Linked DNA regions of Macaca fascicularis. The protein of the gene in region 1 interacts with the protein of each later gene in a pairwise test. Links are inferred from orthologs where the notes say so. Each region holds a gene or a part of one and is shown in the gene's direction. Other genes may lie near its edges. The genes, in order: P4HA3, NUTM1, melanoma-associated antigen C2 and NDN.

Evidence for each region.
Region 2: the proteins of P4HA3 (region 1) and NUTM1 interact in binary tests that used the Homo sapiens proteins (3 or more experiments, as listed by UniProt). The two-hybrid records come from large-scale screens. The link is inferred for Macaca fascicularis from reciprocal best matches to the Homo sapiens genes P4HA3 and NUTM1.
Region 3: the proteins of P4HA3 (region 1) and melanoma-associated antigen C2 interact in binary tests that used the Homo sapiens proteins (3 or more experiments, as listed by UniProt). The two-hybrid records come from large-scale screens. The link is inferred for Macaca fascicularis from reciprocal best matches to the Homo sapiens genes P4HA3 and MAGEC2.
Region 4: the proteins of P4HA3 (region 1) and NDN interact in a two-hybrid assay, tested with the Homo sapiens proteins (2 studies listed by BioGRID). The link is inferred for Macaca fascicularis from reciprocal best matches to the Homo sapiens genes P4HA3 and NDN.

What each region holds. Positions count from the first base shown.
Region 1 is NC_088388.1:73,181,831-73,187,803, reverse strand, and holds the start of P4HA3 (prolyl 4-hydroxylase subunit alpha-3), read left to right. Parts: upstream 1-2,342; 5' UTR 2,343-2,364; coding exon 2,365-2,564; intron 2,565-5,973. UniProt on the Homo sapiens protein: Catalyzes the post-translational formation of 4-hydroxyproline in -Xaa-Pro-Gly- sequences in collagens and other proteins.
Region 2 is NC_088381.1:10,630,526-10,636,609, forward strand, and holds the start of NUTM1 (NUT family member 1), read left to right. Parts: upstream 1-2,602; 5' UTR 2,603-2,652; coding exon 2,653-3,007; intron 3,008-6,084. Other genes in the region: NOP10 (H/ACA ribonucleoprotein complex subunit 3), read right to left, coding at 1-29. UniProt on the Homo sapiens protein: Plays a role in the regulation of proliferation. Regulates TERT expression by modulating SP1 binding to TERT promoter binding sites.
Region 3 is NC_088395.1:148,296,995-148,302,188, reverse strand, and holds melanoma-associated antigen C2, read left to right. Parts: upstream 1-1,909; 5' UTR 1,910-1,962; coding exon 1,963-3,084; 3' UTR 3,085-3,441; downstream 3,442-5,194. UniProt on the Homo sapiens protein: Proposed to enhance ubiquitin ligase activity of RING-type zinc finger-containing E3 ubiquitin-protein ligases.
Region 4 is NC_088381.1:5,295,362-5,300,683, forward strand, and holds NDN (necdin), read left to right. Parts: upstream 1-2,412; 5' UTR 2,413-2,500; coding exon 2,501-3,466; 3' UTR 3,467-4,039; downstream 4,040-5,322. UniProt on the Homo sapiens protein: Growth suppressor that facilitates the entry of the cell into cell cycle arrest.

The sequences.
Region 1 (5,973 bases):
CACATGCACATCTTTGGAGGGAGGGCGTGATTCTGCCTACCACAGTCCCTAATCTCTGGTCAGAACAGCTTCTATGGGAAGGCTACTCAGTTGGAAAGAGTTTGTGCAAGGTAGGAGCCTTGAAGCTTAATCTTCAAAACCTTCTGGGTAAATCTGCCTCTGGTAGTAATTAAGAATATGGAATCAGGATCCACATGACCTGGGTTCAAGTCCCTTCTCTACCACTTACTATGTATGTTGATTGAGTTGATGTTACAGATTGGGTTCTCTAGAAACAGAGGCTCAGATGGAGTTTGAGGTGCAAGATGTTTATTAGAGATCAACATCTATGAAAGGGAAAGGAAGCAAGAAAGGGGAGAGGAAGAAGTCAAAGAGGCTTGATGAAGCCTTAATCAAGGTGGCAGGCATGCTGGAGCTAGTATTGCCTGTAAGAGTTTTCTCACGATGGACCAAAATGGCTAGGCCTTGATTCCCTCACCTTGCTCCGTTGCTGGATTAGGGTTGCCCCAGGAAGGAAATTTCCCTAGGCAAGGCTGCTCTCTGCTATAGGATAGACCCTAAAGCAGCTGACCGCTGGAGACTCTTCTGATCACATTCCCTGCAGCTGTGCAACAATTGTTTGAAGGGGGATCTGCGTGGTACATCTCCATGTCTACACAAGCAGTGGTGTGCTGGAGCTGGCTCACCCCAGCTCGCAAGAATTGATTGTTAGCATCTTTATCCAACCGCAGTCAGTGATGACATATTCTCATGTTGAAATCAGCCACTATGGGAGAATTGACACCACAGAAATTGGCAAATGCCACAAATCAGAATTTTAATTTTTTTCCTAGACAGCTGGTTTACAGCACACCTCAAATGTGGTCCACAAGTGATTAACATTGAGTAGGTTATTGATTGTCCCTACAACTCAGTCTTCTCATTGGTAAAGTGGGGCTAATAATACTATAAGAATACTACTACTACCTAGGCTGTAAGGTCAGCATGAGAATTAAATGAGTTAATACATATAAAATACTCTGGACAGCAATTAAATGAGTTAATATATGTAAAATACTCTGGATGGCCCCTGCCACACAGGAAACACTCAGTAAGTATTAACTGCTGTGTTTACTATTGCCATTGTTACTACAATTATTACCACCTTAAAAACTTCCACTGGATTTTCATAGAGGAAAAGCACCTAAATTTCTTAGTATGGCATGCAAAGGCCCTTCGCAATCTGATAGTTTCAAGCACAAGGAACTTCTCGTCATTTCTGGAACTCAAACTGTTTTCCACCTCCAAACCTTGTCACGCACAGGTACCTTCTGCCAGGAAAGCCCACTCCTCCCTTGCCTGTCAACTTCCAATTTTTTTCATGCTTTTGAACCAGCACACATTATCTCCTCTCTGAAGCCCTCTCCACCCGCTAGATGAGGGTTCCTTCTTCAGTGTTGCCATTGCACATTGCACAACCCTCAGTTACTCTGACAGCACTTTACTGTGATTACTTGTTTACATATCTGTCTCCTCCTCTGAGTCCAGGATTGGATCTGCTATTTCTCTGTGTAGTCAGCACATTAACATAGGTGCTAATAAATATTTGTTGAATGAATGAACATTGCCTGGGAAATGATTAAGAGGGGGGAAATAGAGTAAGTAGCTTAGTAGGCTATAATAATAGCAATATTTTTGTTTGCCTAAGTGACTCTAGGTATATTGTGTAAAGCAGTGACATCAGGACCCCAGAGTTTCAGGTTCTGTAAGTCCTAGATTTGTCATACACTCACATCCTCACAGAGTCCTACTCATCCTTCAGATGGCTCAGATGTCACGCCCTCTGTGAGGGTTTTCCTGCCTGCTGCCCTCTTGCCGCTCTTTGCCTGCGCAGCTATTCACACACGCAAAATTGGCTCTTCTGTGGGGATCCAGTGGTGTTTGTGTATTCCCACTCCATGGTACAGAGGGGCGGATATTTTAGGGATGTTGTCAGCATGGTGTTAACAATATTTGGGGATGGTCACAGCCTTAGACCTGTGAATTCATCGCTCACCTCGCCCCCGCCTCAATTTCTCCCAGTGTGATGGGCACAGTGGAAACACCTTCACAGGGTCGCGATTTAGTGGAGGGCGGCTGACACTGATGTTGCAGGAAGCCCCCACGCATTCCGAGGAGCTGAGGGCTAGAGAGCGAGGTGAGGCGCGTCGAAACAAGGAAGGAGGCAGGGGGCGTGGGGCGAGACTGGGCTGCGGAGGCGACTGACCGGGGCCAGGGGGCGGGGCCTGAGCCGGGAGGGGGCGGGGAAAGGGGCGGGGCAGGCCAGGGCAGGAGCAGCTGGCTCCGCGCGGCCAGGACTGTCTGAGAAGTGCGCTAGCGCTGGCGATGGGTCCAGGGGCGCGGCTGGCGGCGCTGCTGGCAGTGCTGGCGCTCGGGACAGGAGACCCAGAAAGGGCTGCTGCGCGGGGCGACACGTTCTCTGCACTGACCAGCGTGGCGCGCGCCCTGGGGCCCGAACGCCGGCTGCTGGGGCTGCTGAGGCGGTACCTGCGCGGGGAGGAGGCGCGGCTGCGGGACCTGACTAGGTGAGGGCACGGCGAGTGGGAGCGACCGAGGGGCCTCAGTGGGAGACACTGTGCAGCAACGTGGGGTGACTCAGGTTGAGTGTGACCCCAGGCTCATTGTCATGCTGCGTGGGACCCCAGACCCACTGTCGCATCGTGCGACTGAGACATTGTGGCGTGGGATGGGGAGTGGCTCTGAGGGCCAGTGTGACCCCCCAGACCCATTGTCACAGTGTGTGGGACCCCGACACTCCGTGGCATGAGGTGTTGGCGAGGGTTGAGTCACACTGTGTGGGACTGCAGACTCCATAACACACACGGTGGCACTGTGGAAGAGCGGGGTGGGGTGACTCAAGGACCTCACAATGTGCTGTGCGAAGCTGTATGATCCCCAGGCCCTGTGTCACACTGACACAGACTCAGTGGACGGTGCTGTGACAGAGACACTGTGAGAGTGAGATGGAGAAAATATGGTGACGCTTTAGCTATGCAAGTATTGACTTTTCAAGGGGCGATCATGAAACACCGCATGACCTAGTGAGCTGAAGTTTAGTGTTAGGAGTCAGGTGACAGTCTTCCACCATATGTGAGATTTACATGTCATTGGCACTGGATGGGCACGACGCTGTGGATATCATACTCTGCATGTGAGTGATGCTGAGTAACTGTACAGGTCGCTATATGAATAATGCTTCAGTTCATTAATTCATAGAACACATATTTTTGAGTGCCTACTAAGAGCCAGGCAGTGTTCCAGGTAGTGGGGATAAAATGGTGAAGAAGAGCCAACTCTGCCCTCAAGGAGTTCGGGTCTGTAGCACCATGACTGTGAATCAGAGATGTCCACTGCCCTCTACGTCTTCAGTTCTTCCTTCTCCTTACACATGTAGAAGCTCTCTAAATACTAAATAAATGATAACTGAGATGTTATATGTGTGTCAACATATTTGATATCAAAAAAGCACTGTGAAAAAACATACTTGATGCAGAAGATATTGAGTATAGCACACGGCAGTGGATGCTCAGCTAATATTGTTTTGATATACAATCAACAAACTCTAGTGCTACACACTGTGGCATAAAAGATTGTTAGACTTGGGATGCTGAGGCACCATAGTCATGTATCGACTTTGGCAGTGTCCAGCTGAGAAAAATGAAAGATAAATGATTGTATATGATACCATCTGTATGAATATGTGCTGCGCCTTCTCTGCTTGGGACATGAAGAAGCCTACAACACTGACAGAGTGGTTATGACCACGTCACTATTTGGATATATTAATATTGTACCTTTATCACGTGACCTCCTTCTCATTGAGCTAAGACGGCACAATGCACTGCTTTTAAAACTTTGCGTGAGTGTATGTGATAGTAATACTGATTCTGGGGTGACATGAGAAGAAGGTATGTGGAATGGGGAGTGACTCTGAGGTCCAGTGTGACCCCCAAACCCATTGTCACCCTGTGCAAAACTTTGAGACCCCATGACTGTGAGAGAGAGCTATGTAGAAGAAAAGCATTTTGTGGGTGGAAAGTATTTGTGAGAGATCTTGTTAATAGTGACTGAATGAGCTAATTTGGTGCTTGTCCTTAAGTATGTGGCTTGCATATAAACAGCTTGAAATAGTGTGACAATGTACAATATAGGTATGTATTAATTTTAACAATAAATGAAGATCATTTCAATAACTATTGTCACTTTTTGGTATAGCATTGTTGTCTAGTATTCTATGGGTCCATGCTGACTGAGTCAAATGTCTTCTTTTTGTTCATAGCCCAGAGTCATTGGAGTCCAAGCTTATTGATGGAAATAGGAAAGACTTTTTTCTGCTTGATTTCAGAGCCCAGCATGCTCCCTGCTACCCATGCTTGTTTTCATACCAGTAATCTCTTTCTTTGGGTAGCTCAGATGGAGATGGGAGTGGGGGGTCAGAATCCCTGTGCTGGTCTTTCAGGTTACATTCTCAGAAGAGAGCACTCAGAGCATTTTGGCCAAAGCAGCTGGCCGACCCCACTCCGCCATGCTGGTCTCTTTCACTGTCTTTCCACCATTATCATTGCCACAACTTTGTCGCAGCAGGAGGTCTCATACAAACCGTATCTCATTTGATTCTCTCTCACACACGGTGCTTTGAAATAGATTTGTATTACACTGTTAACTGTTGAGAAATCAGTTAAAACCCAAGAAAACTAAAGTCTAGTTGCTTATTCAAGATTGTATTAATAAATCTAACAGGTAGCAAATCCAGGACTAGGATACAGTTGTTTTGACTGTTTATCCAACTTTTTTCCTATTATGCTATGTTATCCCTACCGCTTCTTTTATCTGTTATACCAAGACATAGACCAAGCCCCTAACTAATTGAGGTTTTACTAGTGGCCACAGTACATAGTGGTTAACGGTAAATTCAGGAGTTTAACAGACCTCTGTTTGAATCATTGGCTCTGATCTGGGACAAGTTACTTTACCTCTTTGAGCTTTAGTTTCCTAATCTTTAAAATGATGATAAACACAGTACCTATCACTATAGGGTTGTTGAAGGATTAAGAGTACCATGTAAAAGTATTTATCATTATGCCTGGCATGTAACAATTGCTGGACAAATGCTAAGCCTTTATGCTTATTATTTTATTTTATTTTATTTTATTTTATTTTAAGACCAACTAGTGAAACTAGGCCCCACTTTTGGCTCTGAGGATTAACTAGGATTGTGACAGCCTAGATAAAAAACAAATCAGAAAAGTTCCCAATTATTTTCTCAGGTGACTTACGAACATTTAATTTTGTAGTTTAGTTTGATATTTTGAAGACTGGCATTCTATCATTCTGTTCTCTAGTGACTGCTCTAAAACCCAGTGAAATGTTTGCTTTTTAAGAGACAGGGTCTTGCTCTGTCACCCAGGCTAGAGTGCAGCGGCTCTATCATAGCTCGCTGTAACCTCAAACCTGTGGCTCAAGTGATCCTCCTGCCTGAGCCTACCAGGTAATTAGGACTACGGGTGCGCACCACCATGCGCACCATGCCTGGTTAGGGCTTTTTTTGCTTTTGTTTTTGTTTTTGTTTGGTTTGGTTTGGTTTGGTAGAGACGGGGTCTTGCTCTCTTGCCCAGACTGGTCTTGAACTCCTGGCCTGAAGTGATTGATCCTCCCTCCTCGTACTCCCAAAGTGTTGGGATTGCAAGCATGAGCTACCGCACCCAGCCTTTATGTTTGCTTTTTAAAACAAGAATTTTGGCAGTTCTTGCTAATTTTTCTATACTCCCAATCTGGTGATTTTATGTAACTTGAGAGGCTGTTTCCAAGGCTCGGTTGAGATAGAAAAATGCAATATTCTTGAGGTAGGAACTACTCCCTACTCCAAGTTAATGAATAAAAATTATACTTGTTATAGTATATATGGTTATATGCCAGTATTGGTACATATACTAG
Region 2 (6,084 bases), on another chromosome or scaffold:
TCCTCGTTGAGGTAATACTGGAGAAACATGACTGCTCGTAAGCCAGAGGTCCCAATTCGCTCCGCTGCTCCGTCTGCAGGGGTCCGCCCGACCGCGTCACGTGTTCGTCAATTTCCTTCCTGCATAGCCGGAAGTCTCTCTCCTGGCACGCCGGAAAATGTAGTCAATTTTTGCCTTATTTTCAGCTAGCCAGAAGGGGGCGCACGAGGGCAGGGCTTGGCTTGGGGGGCCACACTTGCAACTTTGCAGGCTAAAACACGTGGAGTGTGCCTACTGTGTGCTAGGTACACGGCGCTAGAGGGGGGTAGGGATGGATGTGGATAGAACATTGACGTATAGAAGCTTGTCTTTATCTCAAGATACATACCCATTTCAGGAGCAGTGAGTTTCCAGTGCCTGAAGAAACAAGGGCTCCAGGATTCAGAGCCCCTTTGCCCTAGGGAAGAAGGAAGAGGTTTTCTTCCCTCCCCTCTTTTACATCCAGTTTCCCTGCTCCATTTCAAAACGTTGGCGGTAAAGAATGCATGTTGAGTATCAATATTCCGTAAAGCGAAAATAGCGTAAAGTTATTTTATGAAACGAAGTATGTTTCAGCGGTCGAACCAAGATTTAAACTTAGGTCCCTACCGCAAATTCAGCGCTCTTTCTTACAGTGGTGAGTAGCTAATAATAGCGTAATAAAGTGCACCTTCTAGGAGATTTTACAATTTTTTAAAGAATATAGAAGTTCTCCTTATTCGTTTAAAGAAATGAAAATGAGAACCAAAATATAATTACAAAGATCATCATTACGCCTTATTTATAATGACAAAAGCGTTGGCATATATGTTGTGTAACCAGAAAAACCTGCAAGGTTTTTTTTTTTTTAGAATATGGTTTGGCCGGGCGCGTTGGCTCACGCCTGTAATCTCAACACTTTGGGAAGCTGAGGCGGGCGGATCACAAGGTCAAGAGTTCGAGACCAGCCTGGCCAATCTGGCGAAACCCCGTCTCTACTAAAAATACAGAAAAAATTAGCTGAGTGTGGTGGTGGGCGCCTGTAGTCCCAGCCACTTCAGAGGCTGAGGCAGGAGAGTCATTTGAGCCGGGAAGGCAGAGGTTGCAGCGAGCTGAGATAGCGCCACTGCACACCAGCCTGGGTGACAGAGTGGCACTCCGTCTGAAAAAAAGAATATGGTTTGTGACCGGGTGCAGTAGCTCAGGCCTGTAATCCCAGCACTTTGAGAGGCCGAGACAGGTGGATCACAAGGTCAGGAGTTCAAGACCAGCCTGGCCAATATGGTGAAACCCCGTCTTTACTAATAAAAATACAAAAATTAGCGGGACGTGCTGGCGGTCACCTGTAGTCCCAGCTACTCGGGAGGCTGAGGCAGGAGAATCGCTTGAACCCGGGAGGCGGAGGTTGCAGTGAGCTGAGATCACGCCACTGGTCTCCAGCTTGGGTGACAGAGCAAGAGACCCTGTCCCAAAAAAAAAAAAAAAAGATATGGTTTGTATTTACTTGTAGTTGAATAAAAAATCTCTGCAATTATTCACAAGAAACAGATGATACTGGTTTCCTCTGAGATAGAGAACCTAGTTACAGGAGAAAGGGGTAAGGGGTGGGAGGCAGACTTATTGCTATGTATTTTATTTTGTAGTTTGATTTTTGAACCTTGCTAATGTATTACCTGTTAAAAATTTTTTAAAGGCCGGGCGCGGTGGCTCATACCTCTAATCCCAGCACTTTGGGAGGCCGAGGTGGGTGGATCATGAGGTCAGGAGATCGAGACCATCCTGGCTAACACAGTGAAATCCCGTCTCTACTAAAAATAGAAAAATTAGCCGGGTGTGGTGGCGGGCGCCTGTAGTCCCAGCTACTCAGGAGGCTGAGGCAGGAGAATGGTGTGAACCCGGGAGGCAGAGCTTGCAGTGAGCAGAGATCATGCCACTGCACTCCAACCTGGGCGACAAAGCAAGACTCTGTCTCAAAAAAAAAAAAAAAGTATGTCTAAGTAGTTAATTTTGTTAGAAAGGAAAAGGATGATTTCAGCCTTCAGGTCTTATTAATGAAAGAGTCTTTAGAAAAGAGAAAAGATATCTCAGAGAAAGCAAGAAAGACGCCATGAACCCCAGGGAAGGTCTTTTGGGGGAAATCCACGTTTGGATGAAGCTGTGGCTGTAGAGGATGGTCTGGGAATTACTGGCCTGAAATAGTCACCAGGAACCTTAGCAGATACATTTTATTTTTAAAATTTAAACCAAAATAATTTAACAAAACGAAGGACTTTCTACTCTTGAGGTTTTAAACTGCATGGCAGCTTTTTTATTTAGTGAGGCTTTTCAGCAAAGGGTAAGGCTTCTGTGGAGTACAGAGCCTATGCTAGTAGATTGGACAGCTTTCCAAGGAAATGATGTGCACACAGCAATTGAGCACCTTGGATCATCTGACAATTCTAATTTTAGACTTTAGTTCCCTTGATCCTTAAGTATACAGACCAATGTGGTCTGAATTTAGTTCAGAAAATATAGCCATCATTGGATTAAGTCAGGGGTCTACCATCGACCTGCTGTTAATAGGAAGTCAGTTACAGAACTGGCTGGGATGGAAGGACACAAAATGAGATATGTTGGTGAAGAATTGAAGTATAGGGAACCAAACTCAAAACTGTAATGTGTTGGGAATCTGAGAAAGAATTTACAAATAGCCCTAAAGGGCGAACATCAGTTGTGTTGCCAAACTGTAGTTTGAAGGGAATTCCTGGTTTTTGCGTAGTTACTAGAACCCTTCATGGAATATCTCTCCCCACCCTCACCCCACTTTCCCCTCTCCCCTCCCCCACAGCAGACTGCCTTGAGTTCCATATTCTAGTTCTGTTTGATCTGATCTTTACCTTCCCTTCCTTGGATCCCTGTGCACCTACTTGGAGCCAGGTTACTCTGGGTCCTGGACCTGACTGCCTCATTCTGGAGGCTTCCAGACAGCCACGGTTAGTGCCCAAAGCTGAGAGGATGGCTTCAGATGGAGGTAAGTCTTTAGGTGGTGAGGAGGATTTCTGGTACCTGCTCAAATCCTTTGGGACAAGCTCTTTGGGCTGACCTAAAGGAATGCGAGGTGCTACACCCCATCAAAGGTATCCCACTTGGGGAGGCTAGAGAAGGAGACTGTACCATTAAGACTAGGGGCCGGGGAAGGAAGAGGACCTCCTTAAGGGCAGATCAAGGTGTCTCCGAGGACACATGCTGAGTATAGAGAATGGATGGCAATTAGCAACTTGATTCTCTTGAACAGGGGGCACGTCAGCGTGTGTTCTTGTGGTGGGAGAGGGGATCAGAGGTATGTGTCTTAGGACTGGCACCGAGAGGTTTCAAGGGGGAATGCCCACGTTCATTCATCTGTCTCTTTCAGGCAACTGGAGCCTATTCTAGGATTTTGCCATGCTTGAGCCTATGAGGGGAATGGGATGTGGAGGATGGAGGATGGGAGGGTAAGGTGGGAAGGACTTTAGCGGGAAAACATAATCTGTAGTTATCCGTTGCAGAGAAATGCCTTCCTGAAAACTAGGCTGGAATGTATTATAAACTGCCTCTACTCTGGCCGGGCACGGTGGCTCATGCCTGTAATCCCAGCACTTTGGGAGGCCGAGGCGGGCGGATCACCTGAGGTCAGGAGTTCAAGACCAGCCTGACCAACATGGAGAAACCCCATCTCTACTAAAACTACAAAAAAAAAAAAAAAAAAAAAAAAAAAAAGCCGGGCATGGTGGCGCATGCCTGTAATCTCAGCTACTCGGGAGGCTGAGGCAGGAGAATCCCGTGAACCTGAGAGGCAGAGGTTGTGGTGAGCCAAGATTGTGTCATTGCACTCTAGCCTAGGCAACAAGAGCGAAACTCGGTCTCAAAAAAAAAAAAAAAAGAAAAATCCTGCCTCTGCTCAGAGCCTCACGGCTCCTTCCAGCCCTAGAGGTGGCTTCGCTTTGAGTTCAGGAAGCAGTTTTTCCGGATTCATCCGGGCCAGAGAGGTGGGTCATTACAGCCAGGATGAGATCTGGGGCTTCACCGAGATGCTCTTAGTTTTTCTTCCTTTTATGGATCTCAGGCCTTCAGGCCCCTTTCATTGTGTTCTGTACTCAGCGACATACCCTCAGCCCTTTGCTCTGTGGCTGAAATGAGTTTGAATCTGAGTTTGCTTGTGTGCCATGGTCAGAATGCAGAAGTTGGGTGTTGTTAGTTTGACAGTGTAATATTTTTTGTAAGGGGGAGGAGATTTAAGCAGGTGATATTCTGCTGTTGTTTTCCTGTTTTGTTTTTTTGTTTGAGATGGAGTCTCACTGTGTCGCTTACGCTGGAGTGCAGTGGTGTGATGCTAGCTCACTGCAAAGTCTGCCTCCCGAGTTCAAGCAATTCTCTTTCCTCAGCTTCCTGAGCAGCTGGGATACAGGCGCCCACCACCACACCCAGCTAATTTTTGTATTTTTAGAGAGACGGGGTTTCACCAAGTTGGCCAGGCTGGTGTCTAACTCCTGACCTCAAGCGCCTGTAATCTCAGCACTTTGGGAAGCCGAGGGAGGTAGATCACTTGAGGTCAGGAGTTCAAGACCAGCCTGGCCAACATGGTGAAACCCCATCTCTACTAAAAATACAAAAATTAGCTGGGTGTGTTGGCGCCCGCCTGTAATCCCAGCTACTAGGGAGGCTGAGGCAGGAGAATCGCTTGAACCCAGGAGGCAGCAGAGGTTGCAGTGAGCTGAAATCGCGCCACTGCACTCCAGCCTCGGTGACAGAGACTCTGTCTCGGGGAAAAAAAAAAAGTCCTAGGAGACATAGGTTCTGATTAAGTACACATTTGTATACTTATCCTTGGTCTCTTTGACTAGAGTCCACATAGCCCCTCCCCAGCTGGAACCAGTGACAATGAAGGACTTCATTGTCCTGTCCTTAGCACCTAGCTCAGTGCCTCGTTCCTAGTGAGCCCTAAATTTCTGATGTTAGGAGCTCCAAGCAGAAGGGCCACAGATAGTCTGCATCGCCAAACACGTCCAGCAGTTACTTAAAGATCTGGAAACCTCTCTCCCCACACCGCCCTCCCTTCACTCATTTCCTTGTCCTTATCTAATCCTCTCTAATTATTCCTGGCTGTTATACAACAAAATTTCTGGGAACCAAACATCCAATCCACATATCCTCTCCTGGGAACAGTACTTCTGTGCGTGGTGGCAGAGGCCACAGAGCAGCTGGGAGAAGCAGGGTTCAGGTGGTTTGAGTCTCTGGTTTGGAATAGGTGAGCATAGGGGATGTACGTGGAATGCTGGGTGGAATGTGTTACAGGATGTCTGAGCTTCATGGGCTCATGCTCCTGCTTATAGATTGAATCTTTCTTCTGTTGTTTTAGGTTAAGAGAGATTTATAAGAAGCAACAGGAAAAGGAAAAGGAGGAGGGAATGAGCCAGTCATATTTTTGAAAGTGCCTCCTTCTCAAAGGCCTTATGGATGCCTCGAGAGGGGCTGGAGCTTACCGTGGACTAGTTCCCTTACTGCACGGAGGCCGCTGTGGGCTGTTTTCCCTGCAGAGCAGGTGTCAACCCAATTCTGTATCTTAGTAAACAGCCTACGGAGAGGCTGGAGAGGTCTGCCAGGAATTTTCTTAGAGAAGCACTTAGAGGGGCCGGGTGCAGTGGCTCACGCCCGTAATCCCAACACTTTAGGAGGCCGAAGCAGGTGGATCACCTGAGGTCAGGTTTTTGAGACCAGCCTGGCCAACATGGCATAAACCCTGTATCTACTAAAAATACAAACATTAGCCGGATGTGGTGGTTCACGTCTGTAATCCCAGCTACTTGAGGGGCTGAGGCAGGAGAATCACTTGAACCTGGGAGGCAGAGGTTGCAGTGAGCTAAGATCGTGCCACTGCACTCCAGCCTGGGTGACACAGAAAGACTCCATCTAAAAAGAAAGAAAGAAAGAAAAAGCAACACTTTAGAGGCAGTGATGGCTCAGGCTTGTCTCTTCTTGGCAGACAGGGGTCTGTGTGTCTTCTTGAAAAAGCAGCAGCTTCTTTAATGCAGTCATTCTCAACGAGGAGGAAGATCAAAATCACTTGGGGGA
Region 3 (5,194 bases), on another chromosome or scaffold:
CTATCCCACTGTGGGTGGATGTGATTCTACTTCTCTTCCACCTTGCAGGTCTCAGGGATGGGAGGGGCTTATTCGCAGGTGAAAGACTCAGATGCACAGAGACAGGGAGTCCAGGCCATTTCAGGAGTCCAGGCACAGCCTCTCAGGAGGGCAGGAAGGGAACACCCATGACCGGTAGTGCCCTCTGTCCTGTCCCTGTGCCTGCTGCCAACTCTGGAGGACCCCATCAGGGTCCCCAGATGTACAATTTTCTTACTTCTATTTTGGGAGTCAGCAGAAGGGGAGGCTGTCTCTGAGGAGGGCAGCTTCAGTTAAGCAGAGAGAGAAGTCCCAGAACTGGCCAGAAAACAAGAAGAGATGTGGAAGGACGGTGATCTCCCAACACGGAGGGGAGGTGCAGGCTGCACCAAGTCGCTCCCTGCTGACACCCCTGGAAAAAGGAGGGTGGGATGTCAAGGACTGGGGAGGTGGGAGTGAAAAGGTCCACAAGGTTTAGGGAGTGAGCAGGAAGGGTTGGAGGGCAGCTGGGATGTGGGAAGGAAGGGATGGAAAAGAAGCGGAGAGGTGGGGAGTGGTTCCTTCTCAGAGAGGAGGCCCCGCCCCACGTTGACGCTGCCGTCAGCCCTGGACCACTACGGCCGGGTTCCCGGATGTGCTTTCCAGACGGCCATCTTGGGAATCTAAAGGATCGGAGGCATTTTGCAAGGAGATTCGAATCAAGTCAGCTGCGGGGAGTCTTAGACCTGGCCAGTCCACAAGGTGAGGGCCCTGAGGAAGAACTGAGGGACCTCCCACCATAGAGAGATGAAATCCCGGCCTGCACTGCCGCTGCAGTGGGACTGGTAGGTCCCAGACAGGAAAATGCCCACAGAAGAAGGGAGGAGGTGCCAGCCCTCTAGGGAATAAATAGGAAGACATTGAGGAGGACTGGGGGAACCCCCATCTCAGAGGACAGATTCCCACAGATTCCCACCCTGCTCCTCGAGAATCAGCCCTCGTAGAACTCCCCTGCCAGCTCAGGCTGAGTGGCAGCCATCTCATTTCTGGGTGAGGGGTGGAGGGGAGGCAGAGGCCTTGTTCTGGGGGTCCCGTGGCAAGTCAGCACGGGGAGCTGCCTCTGGTTGGCAGAGGGAAGATTCCCAGGCCCTGCTGGCGATAAGACAGAAGACAGGAGTCACATGTGCATCAGAACGGACGTGAGGCCACCCAGACCACCTCCATGGTAGAGTCCTGGGAGGTGGCTGCCACTGCACTACCTCCCACTGCTCTCAGGGATGTGGAGGTTGCTAGGAGGTTTTGCCTTAGGCCAGCAGAGTGGTGGGGGCTTGACCCTCTCTGAGAAGCCGTGAGGTTTCCAATTAAATTCTGAGGGGGCCATGCAGTCCAGAACTATGGGGCTCTGGGATTCTGGCCAGCCCCAGCTGTCAGCCCTGGGAGGCCCAAGACTCTACTTGTAGTCTTTAACCTGAGGGGCTCCGTCACTTCCTCTTGCAGGTGCTCCAGGAACCAGGTGGTGACAAACTGGGTGTGAGGCACACATCCTAAAGTCAGCACAGCAGAGGAGACCCAGGCAGTGCCAGGAGTCAAGGTGAGTGCACACCCTGACTGTGTACCAAGGGCCGTACCCCCAGAAACAGAGGAGACCCCACAGCACCCGGCCGTACCCACCTACTGTTATTCCTGGGGTCTCAGGCTCTGCCTGCCAGCTGTGCCCTGAGGTGTGTTCCCACATCCTCCTACAGGTTGCCAGCAGACAAACTCCCTAGGAAGACAGGAGACCTGTGAGGCCCTAGAGCACCACCTTAAGAGAAGAAGAGCTCTAAGTTGGCCTTTGTCAGAGCCATCATGGGTGAGTTTCTCAGCTGAGGCCATTCACACTGTCACTCTCTTCCACAGGCCTGTTGGATCTCATCATCCATATCCCTGTTGATACCTTTACCTGCTGCGCCTGAAGAAGTCGTTATGCCTCCCATTCCGGGCGTTCCATTCCACAACGTTGACGACGACTCTCCGGCCTCAGTTGAGTCAGAGGACTGGGTAGATGCACAGGATCCCACAGATGAGGAAGAGGAGGAAGCCTCCTCCATTTCCTCTTCCACTTTCTACTTAGTATTTTCCCCCTCTTCCTTCTCCTCATCCTCTTCTCTGATTCTTGGTGGTCCTGAGGAGGAGGTGCCGTCTGATGTGATACCAAGTCTTCCCGAGAGCACTCCCAGTAGTCCTCCACAGAGTCCTCCACAGGGTCCTTCCCAGAGTCCTCTGAGCTCCTGTTGCTCCTCTTTTTCATGGAGCTCATTCAGTGAAGAGTCCAGCAGCCAAAAAGAGGAGGATACAAGTACCTGTCAGGGCCTGCCAGACAGTGAGTCCTCTTTCACACATACACTAGATGAAAAGGTGGCCGAGTTAGTGGCGTTCCTGCTCCTCAGGTACAAAGCAGAGGAGCCTGTAACAGAGGCAGAGATGCTGATGATTGTCATCAAGTACAAAGACTACTTTCCTGTGATACTCAAGAGAGCCCGTGAGTTCATGGAGCTCCTTTTTGGCCTTGCCCTGATAGAAGTGGGCCCTGACCACTTTTCTGTGTTTGCAAACACAGTAGACCTCACTGATGAGGGTAGTGATGATGAGGGCATGCCGGAGAACAGCCTCCTGATTATTATTCTGAGTGTGATCTTCATAAAGGGCAGCTTTGCCTCTGAGGAGGTCATCTGGGAAGTGCTGAATGCAATAGGGGTGTATGCTGGGAGGGAGCACTTCATCTATGGGGAGCCCAGGGAGCTCCTCACTAAAGTTTGGGTGCAGGGGCAATACCTGGAGTGTCGGGAGGTGCCAAACAGTTCTCCTCCATATTATGAATTCCTGTGGGGTCCGAGAGCCCATTCAGAAAGCATCAAGAGTAAAGTACTAGAGTTTTTAGCCAAGCTGAACAACACTGTCCCTAGTTCCTTTCCATCCTGGTACAAGGATGCTTTGAAAGATGTGGAAGAGAGAGCCCAGGCCATGACTGATACCACAGATGATGCCACTGTCATGGCCACTGAAAGCCTCAGTGTCATGTCCAGCAACCTCCCCTTTTCTGAGTGAAGTCTAGGATAGTTTCTGCGCTCTGTGTTTGAACAAGGCAGTTTAGGTTCTAGGTAGTGGAGGGCCAGGTGGGGCTCGAGGAACATAATGTTCTTTGCATTTCTGTCCCATATGGGCGATGTGGAGATTTACCTGTTTTTCAGTACTTTTTGAATGCTTTTCCTTTGAATAGCAGGTAGTTAGCTTCAGAGCATTAATTTATGAATATTGGTCACACATGTATTGCTGTTTATCTGGTTTAAGAGTAACAGTTTGATATTTTGTTTAAAAAAAATGGAAATACCTTCTCCCTTATTTTGTGATCAGTAACAGGGTAGTGTGGTATTGTAATAGGCTTTTTGTTTGTTTGTTTGTTTGTTTGTTTGTTTTTTACAATACGCAATAACTCAGCAGTTAAATAGTGGGACAACGTGAAGGATGGTCAATATTTTCATTTCCTTGTCCTGCTTATTCTTTTGTTCTTGAAAATTAAAGATATATACCTGGCTTTGCTTAGCTTGTTGAAGAAAGTAGCAGAAATTAAATCTTAATAAAAGAAAGCCCCACTGACTCCTTTATTTGCTGAGCATTCTTTCAGTATTTGCTTGTGGAAGTCACTGTTAGTAGTGGGGATGCTAATGAAAGCATGACTTATCTCTATCCATAAAACAGTAGAGTCTAGGAGCAGAAGCCATATCAAGAAGGTGGTAAGATGTTCTCTACAATCTAAAGAACAAGTTAAAAAGGGGCTGGGGAGGTGAGACTCCACATGCAAGCCTTCAAGTGTAAAGGTCTTGAGCTAAGGCAGCTTGGGGCTTTGGAAAACTGCAGTTGCTTTTCTGAGGGCTGGTAGTTACAAAGCTGGGTGGTGGCTGGGACCAGACTCTCGGAGGGTGAGGGAAGAGCCTGGAATGGGGAATTGCTCTGAGCAGTTGCTTCTGGGTGGAGGATGAAGCAGAGAGGAGTCTCCACATGGGGAAGTAATGGAAGGTGTCCTGTGGCTCTGTAACTGGTGAGTTTGAACACAGTGCAAGAACCAGGTGATTGATATCCATCATCTGCAAGGGTTTCCTGAGAAATGTAGTGATAATCCCTTGAAGTGGTGCCCAGAAGCCTCTAGGCTGACTCACTTACCTGGGAGAGCCAGAGCCTACTCCATGGAAAGGCCATTTAATTAGGTGATTTTGAATCTAATGTGGGCAACTCCAAGCAAGGGCTAGATTTTTAGTGGAGGATACATAAAACTAGTGCTTTGGATGGATGAGCATTGGGGAAGGCGAAAAGGAGTTGGTCCTTGACTCAAATTCCAGGATCATTGAGTCGCATTCCACTTGGGGAATTCTCTACTTACCCAAATTATACAATATATCATTTTGGAAAGAGAATGGACTGAGTTTCATTTATGAAGCCGGATTTTTGGTTGAGTTGGTACTCCATGACATATTCAGCTACATATGCTCTGAGATGTTTTAGATCAGAAAACAAGAGTGAAATTTTTCATAAAAGACAGTGGTAGCCTTGGGGTTATAATTACATCGGTAACTGCCATTTGTTAAAATTCCAATCTATGCTTGGCACTGTGCCAGGTGTTTTACTCACATTATAAACATCCAGCAATTCTACAAGACAGGGCTTAGGAAACCCCTTTTACAGATGAAGAACCTGAGGCGCATAGTCCTTGATAAATTCAGTAAGATCACATGGTTACAAAGTGACAGGGCTGGCACTTGAGCCTTGCTCTGAATTCATCTTGACTCATGCTGTCCCTCTCTTCCCAGCCTGAGGAAGGCCTTTGCCTTTTAAGCTACTTCTCTGCACACTTGCTATAATCTCTCAGATGACATCAAGATGAACCCTGTGGCCAAAGTATTCAGGTAGGCTGGGAGAAGAATGGTGACAATGAGAATAAATACAATTTGGGGATCATGGTGGGCTTAGTTTACCTGCTCCTATTCTGAGCCCTAGGTTTCTAGAGAGCTGACTCTGTCCAGGTGCCAGCAGTTCTGTCCAGCCTCAGCACTTTCCCACTTTACAGCACCCTCCTTCTTGTCTCTCCTGTGTGCTCTCCTGAGCAACTCTGGAACCTGTCCTGCTGACCAGCCCGTCCCTACAGTCTCTCTGTGAAGGCTGT
Region 4 (5,322 bases), on another chromosome or scaffold:
TGTGAGAATGTAGTTTGAATGAGATCACAATGTTAAAAACCATAGCCTACGGCCAAAGCTAAGTTGAGATTTAAATAGTAGGTTCAAACACTTTTATTATTAAAAAAATGTCAAACGAACTAAATATTTTTTTCTTTATGTATTTAATTTTTGAGACAGTCTTGCTCTGTTGCCCCGGCTGGAGTGCAGTGGCATGCTCTCAGCTGACTGCAAACTCCACCTCCCAGGTTCAAGTGAGTCTCCTGCCTCAGCCTCCCAAGTAGCTGGGATTAAGGGCATCTGTCATCACACCCGGGTAATTTTTGTATTTTTAGTAGAGACGGGGTTTTGCCATGTTGTCCAGGCTGGTCTTGACCTCCTGACTTCAGGCGATCTGCCCGCCTTGCTTTCCCAAAGTCCTGGGATTACAGGCGTGAGCCACCGCACCTGGCCTAAATATTTTATTTAAATAGTTAGAAAATAATACATACCCAAATAAAATAAAGAAGAATATTGATGGAGATTTAAATGCAATAAATGAGGATTATATTTAAGAAGCATGGGGGCAATAAGTCTGTTCAAGAGACATTCTTTTTTTTTTTTTTTTTTTTTTTGAGATGGAGTCTCACTCTGTCGCCCAGGCTGGAGTGCAGTGGCCGGATCTCAGCTCACTGCAAGCTCCGCCTCCCGGGTTTATGCCATTCTCCTGCCTCAGCCTCCCGAGTAGCTAGGACTACAGGCACCCGCCACCTCGCCCAGCTAGTTTTTTTGTACTATTTAGTAGAGACGGGGTTTCACCGTGTTTGCCAGGATGGTCTCGATCTCCTGACCTTGTGATCGGCCCGTGTCGGCCTCCCAAAGTGCTGGGATTACAAAACAATGAATTAGCATATTTCTGTAAGATGCTCCCAAGAAAGTGGTAAATATCCATAAATAGAGGAAGGAGAAGGAGAAGGAGACGGAGAGAAGAAGGACGAGGTGGAGGAGGAAGAGGAGAAGGAGAAAAGTGTTGAAATAATTCCAACTAAGACTGATATCTAGGAATTACCCTGGTGAAGTGGGAAGCTAAAGAGCCTGTTGGAAGGACTGGTGTGGGAATGGCTCTGCCAAAAGTGTTATGTGCATGCAAACCCAAAGAGAGAGAGCACAGAAAACCCTTCAACATCAACCTGCTTGAGGAAAAATAAAGTGACAAGTGGGAAAAGATATATACTCACAGCGAGGACTCTAGACATGTTAAGACAATTTTTAAATGTGCTTTTGGCTTCGAGTGGCAATAATTAGACTCAACATATTTAAGAAGCTACTGATGAGAAGAAACCCTGGAAGCGCTGAAGGACCACATCAGCCCAGACCAAGGATGCTGAAGCAGCATCAAGGCCCTTGGTTTCAGAGGCTCCACCAATGACCCTTTTTTCATGGAGAGCCTGTAGGAGCGAGTTTTGTCTTTGCCCAGTGGGAATCTGTCTTCTATACTTGGAAAACAGGGTTACCCATGTTGCCCCTGCTACCCTTGGGTCATCTCAGAGACACTACCAGATATTACCTATGAGACCTAGTTGTTTTTTTTTTTAAATCTCAGGAAGGACTTGGGTGTGGCTTCCAACGTGGAGGACTCAGTAGCTTCAGAGAGGGTCCTGGGAGAAGGTGAATCGGAGAATAAGGGTGCTGGGCAGAGGGAAAAAGACATTATCATACAAGTTTGTGCTAAAAGATATAGCAATCCTTCTGCTATGGACTAAGTATGGAAAAAAATAAAATGGAATCAAAGTGACCCAAAGGAAATGTAAAACCCAAATTTATGCCCACTAAAGCATTAATGATGCTCTAAGTCCGCTGCCTACTTAAAAGGTTCATAGTTCACATGGGTTGACAGGAAATTACGTTAAGGACACGCTGCATTTCTCCTTTTCTTACAACCCCTCTGATTTGGTAGGGAGGGAGTCAATCATTTTTTATTGGAATTTCTCAGGATTCCAACCTCAGACATACACTTTACACATTTTCTTGGACAAGCCCGACTGTTCCTCTCACTCGTTCGCATAAAGCTCAAGTTTACACAGCCGCCCAGACCTTTCTCTGGGACGCTCATATTTAACTTAATTCTGGATATATCAGGTAAGCGTTTCCCAAGAAACTTGACCCCAACATCCCAAAAACTTAAGTTATCATCTTTCTCCTAAACTGGCCCCTTCTCCAGTACGCATCCATCGCACTCTTCTCCTGCCCTAGATCCCCTCAGCCCAAACGGGAAACCCCGGGATCGCTCTCTCCGCAGGTGAAGCTTAGCCAGGGACCCTCCCCGTCGGGGCTCCGCGCTGCCCCGCCCGCCCCCAGCCGCTGGCCAAGGCCGCAGTCGCGCAGGCGCAGTGCCGCGTCCCGCCGCCGCCCCGCCCTGCCCGCCGCTGCGGAAGGCGCCGCGCACAGCAACGCGCACTTCCTCTCCAGGAATCCGCGGAGGGAGCGCAGGCTTGAAGAGCTCCTGGACGCAGAGGCCCTGCCCTTGCCAGACGGCGCAGATATGTCAGAACAAAGTAAGGATCTAAGCGACCCTAACTTTGCAGCCGAGGCCCCCAGCTCCGAGGTGCACAGCAGCCCTGGGGTTCCGGAGGGGGTTCCTCCGTCCGAGACCCTGGCAGAGCCGCAGAGCCCTCCTTTAGGCCCGACGGCCGCCCCGCAGGCCGCGCAGCCTCCCCAGGCCCCGAGCGACGAGGACGACCCGAAGGCCCTGCAGCAGGCCGCGGAGGAGGGCCGCGCCCACCAGGCCCCGAGCGCGGCCCAGCCCGGCCCGGCCCCGCCAGCCCCGGCGCAGCTGGTGCAGAAGGCGCACGAGCTCATGTGGTACGTGCTGGTCAAGGACCAGAAGAAGATGATCATCTGGTTTCCAGACATGGTGAAAGATGTCATCGGCAGCTACAAGAAGTGGTGCAGGAGCATCCTCCGGCGCACCAGCCTCATCCTCGCCCGGGTGTTCGGGCTGCACCTGAGGCTAACCAGCCTGCACACCATGGAGTTTGCGCTGGTCAAAGCGCTGGAGCCCGAGGAGCTGGACAGGGTGGCGCTGAGCAACCGCATGCCCATGACAGGTCTCCTCCTCATGATCCTGAGCCTCATCTACGTGAAGGGCCGCGGCGCCAGAGAGAGCGCGGTCTGGAACGTGCTCCGCATCCTGGGGCTGCGGCCCTGGAAGAAGCACTCCACCTTCGGGGACGTGCGGAAGCTCATCACTGAGGAGTTCGTCCAGCAGAATTACCTGAAGTACCAGCGCGTCCCGTACGTGGAGCCGCCCGAGTACGAGTTCTTCTGGGGCTCCCGGGCCAGCCGCGAAATCACCAAGCTGCAAATCATGGAGTTCCTGGCCAGGGTCTTTAAGAAAGACCCCCAGGCCTGGCCCTCCCGATACAGAGAGGCTCTAGAGGAGGCCAGAGCTCTGCGGGAGGCTAATCCCGCTGCCCACTGCCCTCGCAGCAGTGTCTCCGAGGACTAGCCAAGTCTGGAGGCAGATGAATGCTTTCTGATCCTCACCAGGGCTGTGGAAGGGTGGGGGTGGGTCATTAGAGTGTTCAGGATTTACAGTGCAGTATTCACGTGTAACTTTTACGTTTCCAGTACAGTGCTTTTATACCTTTAATGCAATGTTGTATTCATTTGGGTACTATTGTGTAGTATTTAGGATGTATGCATGTTTGTTTATATGTAAGCTTGGTTGGTGCTTTCGCTTTTGTGGTACCTTTCTTGGATTTTTGTATCAGAGACGTGCTAAACTGATGAAGTACATTGAGAACGTTTCCATCTTATTAATTTACATGGGACTGAGATGTGTGTTGGGGTAGACTGCTCCTGCAGAGTTTGGAAAAACTCACCAGCAAAGCCGGCCTAACCAAGAAATGTCAAGGCCCTCATGACCTTGCTGGGGACTGAAAACATCCTCGTGGCGTAAACTAATTTGAACTGGACTGGTCTCAATGTGAGAGCACTTGGCACACTTTACTAAACACATATACAACCCCACCGTGAGTCAACTTTAAAGTAAACATTAAAGATTCTTGTGATACAATCATTTCTGGAAGTGTACGTTATCATTTTAACAAAGCAGTATGGTTGGGAATGAGACAATTCTCTGTTTTACAGTATACACAGATATAACTGTTTCCCCTAATGGGGTGGGAAAAATCGCTACTCATGATTACTCCTAAATTTGTGAAGTTTGTGGTTTTGTCTTTAACTCATGTTTATTTCAAAAACATGCACAAATATAGAAAAGCATAAAAAACAAAACAGTAAGATTGTCCATAATCACATCCTATGGGAATAAAAACCAAAAATAATTTCCTTAAGTTTCTACATTTTATCAAAATTAATAGATGCTTTGTGGGCACTTAAAGAGTGAGACATTGTACATGAGCCCTGACGTGTATTTTTCTCCTTTTATCTAATCCTCACAACAGGCCTGTCAGGCAGGCAAGAACTGCCTCTGCACCATGGAGGAAACACAGGAATAATGTAGGTAATGGACTTTCCATAGCTCATACAGGTTAATAAGAGAAGGCGCTAGGACTAGAACTCACAATGAATCCAGAGTCCACATTTGTCCCCACCTGCCTTCAACTCCCCTACACCCTGTGGTTTTTAGGTTATTTATTTTCAACTTTATATTGAAATTTCATGTGGGAGCCCACACTCACATGGGTTCATGGGCCACACATACAAAAAGGCTAGGAATTTTATTTTTCTAATTCTTAGGATATTTTGGAGAAAGCAATATCATTCTGATTCTGCAAATTAAGAAACTTACTTTTGGAGAGATTAATTAACCTAATGAAGTGATATTCCTGTTGAGCAGTGAAGCTGGGATTGGAAACAATCTTTCCTGAGGGTTGGAGGTGAAGGTGCTTTCTCTGACAAACACACAAGACACCTAAGAGAGGGAGGTGGGTTGCCCTCAGGACGTCTCGGGCCTCGCAGCCCTCGAGTTGCGGTGAGCCACTGGGTAATCCTCAGAGGATGGGATGGGCTGCGAGTGGGCTTTAGGGGCAATGCCTGAAGGAAAATCTCGTTGTGAATTTTTAGTCCTGCAAGGGGTAAGGGGGAGAAAAGGGGCTTTAACAAGAACAGAAGTCCTTTAAACTACAAAAGAGTGGGAAAGACCATTTGGCCAAAGCCAGAAACTTTTCTGTGGAAGACTAATAATGAAGAGGACACGTGTCACATAACACCTCAAAGAAGTAAACTGGGAGTCCTATTAGGGTGAGGGAATTATAATTTGGATTGGGAGCTGGAATTCCCAACACTTACTGGCATTACTTAACAGGTGGGGGCGGGTGCTGGAAATGCTGAAGCCCC